2 linked regions of the Styela clava genome follow. The protein of the gene in region 2 interacts with the protein of the main gene of each other region in a pairwise test. Links are inferred from orthologs where the notes say so. Each region holds a gene or a part of one and is shown on either strand. Other genes may lie near its edges.

Region 1 (3,762 bases), on a different chromosome or scaffold from region 2:
ATGTGCAGCAATATGTCGCACAACCTGAATCCGCTACACACACACATACTATTTTCAGGTTGTGCGCCATCTTGGTGCACATACTTCTGGAGGTCCCTTTTCACCTAACCCTAAAGCCAACCATATCCACATGGAAAATGTTCTAAATTATGGTACCCAAAATGTGTCACCAGCAGGGGCAGACCTGCCATTACAGCATAACTGGCTACATACGTTGGTTTGTGTTTTTAATTTGCTGCCGTGGTAATCCAACTCAAAACAAAGTGCCCCGAACTCATTGCAAAATTTTTTTCTGCTTCACACTGTTTCCCTGTTTTGCGCTCTTTCCCTCTGTTTCGCGCTCTTTGCGGTGTTTCGCGCTGTATTCAGTAAGTAGTAAGACCGCTGGTTAAGAGCCTTGTCCAGAGTAAAAAAAAACAATGAAGTAAACTTATACCTCTACAGTTCCGTCAGGAAAGTTGAATCTTTTCTGAACCATGGCTGTGAGCTCACGGATTCTGCGACCCTTCTCGCCAAGAACATTCTGTGTTCTGAAATATTAGAAATTGTGATTTTTGGCAGTTGTTCAAAAGGGAATGTGGCATTTTGCTAAAAAACATTCAGAAGTAGACCAATCTATGAGCAAAGTTAAAATACCACGAGCCACTAAAACTATATCAAATTAGGTTTAATGCCAGTTTACCATTTATTTGATAAATATGCTAATTTGGACATCAATAGTGGTTAGAGCAAGCATATTTTTGCCTACACCATCCAATGTAATTATTCAAGAATCGTTTCACGTTGGAATCATTGTATGGGACACTCTAAACAACCCAGATTTTGGGCATTATAGATTTTAACATAAATTACAGTATACACCAACAGCTCAGGTAGAGTAACATGATTTTAATCATTCAAGAAGTATTTCGGTGTCCTAAGTTTAGTCATCATTGCTGTGGTGCATACTGAAGACCGAGGTCTGCAAGAAACCTTTAATACACTCGGGCCAGATACAAATAACTAAGTGAAATCGTGGGGCACACCTTCATTTAACATCAGCTTTTTAAATAGTTTAAAGCACAAAAATTTTGGTTGTTCAATTTCAATAATTTTACACATGATTATTAAGGCTATTCTGTTAGTTTTGCACTAAGAATCTAGATTTTCACGCGATGTCAGTAGGTTCGAACGCAGGCTCGGGACGATAAGCGTGCCGTAGTCACTGATTGCACACTGGAACTACTGGATTTGCATGCCAGATTTCTGGTAGATAATGGACATGAAATCCAGTGTTCTGGTGAAGTAAACGACTTACTTGCTTAAATAACGCCTAACAAAATTGTGATGTGAAAAGAACGCTGTAAATGCTCAAATAACACCCAACAAAAATGTGATGTGGAATTTTAATGTGAAAAGATCGAAATTACACCCGTACGGTTTTAAAACGTCGCCGTCGGAAAGGTGGACGACCTATCTGTCCTCTTGTGAGTCGAGTTGTCTGCCTCCAGTTTGTCCCATGCGCGCAACCGTATTGCGCTCGGGCAAGACTGACTTTTATTTTAAGAAGAAAAAATGAAAATTTGGGATGTATTTTCACATTACATTTTTGTTTAGCGTTATTTAAGCAATTACGGCGTTTGCTTCACGAGACTCAAATCTCTACAGGAACTACACGAGATCCAAGGAAAAAACATCTAAGAAATAAAAAGTCAGCTTGAAGCTTCGGAAAACAATGCATCACCTTGTGGCCATGATGATGATCTCAGTACGAGATGGAGTGACACGAACTTCGACCCCACTGTAACCATCCTCTGCCAACTCTTTCCATAACAATTGATTCAATTCAGCCTTGAATAGGCCATCGCGAACGAACTTAAAAAAATGAGGTTGATATTATTTAGTTTAGTCAAAGTAAGCAGGATTTAATCACGGTCAGTTTAAGATTAAATATTATAATTTTAACTGGATCCCAAATTTATTTGCTAGATGAAACTAGAGAAAATGAGTTTCCCTGTTGAGTCAAGCTTTCTGTTCAGAGCTGTTTTAGACGGTATTTGTTTAGCTTAGCTACGTTTTCATTCAATACCTCATGCGAAATTTCAAGAGACTTATGAATTTAACCCAATTTTTTTTTTTAAAACAAGTATCAACCAGAAGTGCAAAATTCTTATTGGTAGTGTGGCTCAGCTAGAGTAACTTAATTCTAATCATTCAAGAAGTATTTCGGTGTCCTAAGTTTAGTCATCATTGCCACACTGCAGATGAATCCATTACATTGATAGCTATAAGCGTGCGCGCGAAAGCAAGCGAGGATGAAGTATCTCATTTTTATCCAAATACATCGAGATAACTGAATCACTACAAATCGTAAATTTACAAAATATGTATCAACTAGGTAATAAGGTATACAAAATTATAAAAATACGAAGCAAATAGTTGAATAAATTCCTAAAAACTAACCAAAATACCTTGCGCTTCTTAGAGACTTGTGTAGCCATCGTCGCAAGTTCGGAAAAGGACGGAAGAGCGAACCACTGGAGGACGCGTCTGAGTTTCCATAAAAATTCTCACGTTTTGGGTCATTGGTTTGAAGAAAATTTAGAAAGAGAGGAAGAGAAAGAAATTTAATAAAATTCATCATTCTATATTGTACATTTTGTTATTATTAATAAATATGTGAGCTATTGCAGAATTCTGTAATACTGAGGGACAACAATTCTCATAATGTTAATTTGTTATATTACCAAGCAAATATTGAATTTCTTTCTAATTTTTCAAACTTGAACTCATTTTATTCTTTTTTTATAATTATGTTTAATAGGTTTATATTTGATATTTAGTACTGTAGCAAAATAACTGGTTGCATAAAGCATTTACAAGCAAATCAAAGTCATTGATGACGTTTCATCGCTCCCTCGAGTCCGTAACAAAAATATTCTCTATTTATTGTATGTCTTTTATTTATTTGTATTTGGTTGACAAATCAACGAATCTATCTTTCTTTCTACATACTGAACATATAAAAACAATTATTTATATTTTATTTTATCTATCTTATGTCGAAAAATACGCTAATAGTGGTATGGTAAGTACACAGATTGGAACGGTATGTTAGTCGTTGGATTGGAACAATAAACTGACGGATACAAAAAATATAAAAGCATAAAATGAAGTAAAAAAAGGAGCGGTTCATAAACAAAGCTGTTTAATATACATTACTTTTTTTAATTTATATTGAAATATCAATTTGAAAATATCTGTATTCCGATATTTTCAAATTAAATTTTTCTCATGATCGCGAAAGATGTACAGTTAGAATTATGTAGCTGTTCATTGAACCCTATCGCCAGAGGACAAAAGTTCATTTGTTGCAAAATTTTCAGTTGAGTTAGCGAAGAACTTCGGAGTTTTCTGGCTTCCGAGCGATGGTTTTCGTCAGGAATTTCTTACTTCAACAACTAAAAGAAAGACCAAATTTGAAGAACGTGAAAAATCCGAGGAATTATCGGTTAATCGCCGCGTTTGTAGTATTTCTTGGAGCAGCTTTTGGACCGATCTACATTTACCCGCTGTATAATTCGAAAGCTTATCGTAAGTTGAGTTTTGCCAGTACTGTTAGGCTATGTCTTTTATTTCGACTAGATTTATTGACTCATGCCTGCTTGTTTTTTAATTAAGGCTTGCATATGCCGATATGGCATAGTTTTTGAAGCTAAAATTTGGTTTCCAAGATGTCCTGAAGTTTGGTTAAATATAGCAAGGTCGTCTGGCACGATGGCA
Region 2 (3,762 bases):
GTTTTGCAGTCATCTAACGTAACTCTCGCGACCAAATCTTTTTTGTATTGTATGGCATGGTCTTGGCGACGAATTTATTGCCGACTAAATTTTAATTGTGTTTTAGTATAAGTTATTTTCTGTTTGTTGGTTTCTAAACTTTACAAACTTGGGTAGCAATTACTATTAATGTGAGATTTGTGCATATGAACGATTGAATATCGCGACTGGATGTCCGATATCTGAGAATGCGTACTTATCTTTCAACATTAATTTTCAGGATATCAGCGTTCATGTGGTCGAATAAAAATTATTTATCAAATGGATTGGTATTTCGAGACACTCTCAAAATTATTTGGGATCCACTATCATATCATTCGTTTATTTTTTATATTCATGTTTTTTTCAAGAATCACCCTCGTTATATTTCGTGTACCTCCGCAAAAGAAAACTCTTTGGTGTCATCGTTCCTATTAGTGTATTTGAAATTTATGGAAACCTCGCAAGTGGCGTTGTGATGCGAATATTTGATACTAGGTCAGCAGCATTACAAAGAGTGCTATTTATGAATACTTAAAGTACATGGCATTCCTAAACATTTTGCCAATATATGATGTTTTCTGCCCGATTTAAACTAACTCGCACGCAAACCAAAGCATGTCAACATTTAAAAATTACTTGTCTTTGGGTAAGCTCTGAAATAGTATAATATGAATGTAAATGATAAATTAGGTCACGCTAGCTCACGAAACGGGAGGATTTTCAAAGTGATCTTGTGTAATATTTCGAAGAAAAAAGTTTGAAAGGAAAGTAGGTCAACCTATCTCCTAAAACAGGGGAGTATCCTGCGTAATATTCCGGAGGGAACGTAGGTTAACCTATCTTTTAAAACAGCGGGTGGCGACTTTCAAAGTGGTTCAAAATCACAAATTAATAATTATCAGATTAGGTTTAGTGATAATCGGAAAGTTGATTTTCCAGCGCACCTAACCCTAATTAGTTGAATGCTATTTATATTTTGGGGGGGGAGGGGGAAATTATTTTGCACGGGATTTGTACAAACGATCCACCCTGTAACTAATATGGTTTCCAGCCTGCCTCGTGTCTGTTAGATGGAAGGAGTAACAAATGTGAAAGCCTTTGCTGTTCATGCGAGTAAGCAACTGACACCGTGATACATTGCATGAAAGTTTTGTCCCCGGCAGGTGTTAGCAGATGTCCTTTCGTTGCCGATGAATTCGCTTGTTTTAATTAAACATGAATTCGCTTAAAGGGAACTCTGTTAACGGAAAGGCTTCTCTTTAATTCATAATATTAACCGGAGGAGCGCTTTTTCGAGTATCTATGTCGTTTTAAATGGGTTATATGAAAGGCTAGGGCACCTAACTTGTTAAAATCGGCAAAAGCACTTTCGCACTTTTTTTTTCGACTGCCAAGCACTTTCGCACTCATAATTCGCTTAGAGTTAACACTGTTTCCAATATATTTCAAGCCTTCAAAAATTCAAGAAAACTTATAGGTATTATTAAAAGTTCTCAACTATTGCCTACTTCTTGTATATTTTCATGCTGTGAAATTGATTCATCCAGCGGTACAAGAACACGTTGAGGTGCTTCATCATCTGCAGCCAGAGGATCTTTCTGACTCCTGAAAAATATAATGGATGAGAGCAGGAAAACAAATAAATATTTACAATTTCAAAAGAATATTACTAAATCACAGAGCAAAATATAGGAAGTCAAAAACAATAACTTCACTTTATAACAATTTGGAATACAATATTATAACTGTGTAACAATTTTTTAAATCAAAAATTTTATTGAGTCATAGTGTATACTACACTATTCTCCTTATTAGATTTGGTAGCTATAATATGAATGATTCAAGTTTGTTACCTGTGGACAAGTTGAAACGTGAATGCCTTTTTCTTATCAATGAACTTTCTCTTTGTTTTATGAGGCTAAAAAGTGTAAAATATATTTATATTTCCCAAAAAATAATAGGAAACAACAGGTGGGAAATTTCAGATTGAACACTCAATATTACATACTAGACAAAAATAAGTGAAACTGTGAAATACTATGAATATTTTCATTTAAAGAAAAATGTCTAGTTCTGATTTTCTACAGTATAAAAATTTGTAACATCTGTAAATATATAGATTTTCAAATCTTTTGTTGAATACAATCCAATTTATAACACATTCAATATTCAGTTTCAAATAATACGCAATACTTCTCGAAGAAATCTGTGATAGGAAGTGCTTACCATGTTGTAGAATGCCTATATCAGTCAAACAAGAAGTGTTTAATATGTATGTAAATGAAATCTAGATATTACAGTCTATAAATAAAAATACCAAAAAGCCTGTTATTCAATGTCGGACACATATTATGCTTATCATATCCTTTATAATCAAAGTTTACAAAAATTATTAAATGATATTTTACCGAATTGCTATATTAAAAGCACCAGCATCAAAATACAACCAAATATTCTTGTAAAACCCTCTTTGATAATAATCAAAAACAAAATATTCAACAACCAAACATTATGAATGCATGCATATTAAACAAGCCATGTAATTTTATCAACATGGTGATATTCAATTGTAAGACAACAATAATAACAGTGCGTTATTCTGCGGTAAATAGAGTAACGAATGCTATATTATATCTGATACAAAAATATTTGGCTACCCAATATCTGTAAGATACAGGAGCTGGAATACTCGTACTTTTCATTCCATATTTAGATACTTATTCAGTGATAAATTCAATGAATAATTACTATTTTTTGAAGACTTAATATAAGCCTCGATGTAATCAGTAAACAATTTTTGTCAACTCAATGCAATACCAAACTGAAAACGAACTAAGAGCAAAGAAAAAGATTCATATTAATCTCTAAATTATTCCAAAGCAACTATTTGATTCGCTTTGGACATCCCTGTTTATGTGCGCCAAAATTAATGTGCTTACTATGAAGAAATTTATTATTAGAGGGAAGGGGTTACAAATTTTGTTTGTTCTTTATAGAAGACATTGACGCGGGTGGTGAAACATTTTTTGAAGTTTTAGAAAATATTCTTTTCAAAAATGATGGTCCTCTGTCTTGACTTCGAATGTCATCTTTTTTATCATCAACATACATAATTCGTGAATATTCAGGAACTGCTTCAACTTTTGGATCAACTTTTACTAGTTTGAAAAAATATCCACAATCACAGGTTTGAGGATCGCCTTCATTGACATAAAACCAGTTCACTGTACAAGCATCAGGTGAGCAGGTACATCCCACAATGCATTTTTCTGTTGGAGATGCAACAAGAATTGGATCTTCTGGGCTTTGCCCCTTATTTTTAATCTGTTTGATTTCGAGTTTGTCAATCCTTTCTTCTGATTCAAATTCTTCAAATTTTTGCTGAACACTTTTATTTAAATGAATCCATGATTGTTGTTGAGAAAAGTTAAAAACAGGTGGTTGAGTAAATAATAAAACTCTACTACGAAAAACTGTGGCATATGCAACACGAAGCATAGCCATCCTATCGAATATCAAACCTGAAATAGAGGGATAGTAACATTATAATATTCAAGGCTGAATTAACAAGAATAGATAAACTGTTTAATATTTCGGCACACATAACAACATACAAGATCTAATGAACTTTCAGACTTAAGTAATATTTACCCTCAAGAAAGCGAAAATTAGCAGTATTACTATGACAATTCAGCAGGAAAAAATTGAACAGATAATTGTTCCATGTGCATGAAATTTGGC

The links.
Region 1: the proteins of protein LTV1 homolog (region 2) and small ribosomal subunit protein uS3-like interact in a two-hybrid assay, tested with the Caenorhabditis elegans proteins (2 studies listed by BioGRID). The link is inferred for Styela clava from reciprocal best matches to the Caenorhabditis elegans genes T23D8.3 and rps-3.

Annotation. Positions count from the first base shown.
Region 1 is NC_135263.1:1,582,838-1,586,599, reverse strand, and holds the start of small ribosomal subunit protein uS3-like, read right to left. Parts: upstream 2,583-3,762; 5' UTR 2,481-2,582; coding exon 2,451-2,480; intron 1,855-2,450; coding exon 1,724-1,854; intron 531-1,723; coding exon 437-530; intron 1-436. Other genes in the region: small integral membrane protein 20-like, read left to right, coding at 3,408-3,573.
Region 2 is NC_135257.1:4,847,551-4,851,312, reverse strand, and holds the start of protein LTV1 homolog, read right to left. Parts: upstream 2,325-3,762; 5' UTR 2,251-2,324; coding exon 2,248-2,250; intron 1,940-2,247; coding exon 1,875-1,939; intron 1,627-1,874; coding exon 1,530-1,626; intron 1-1,529. Other genes in the region: uncharacterized protein LOC120346059, read right to left, coding at 2,992-3,525.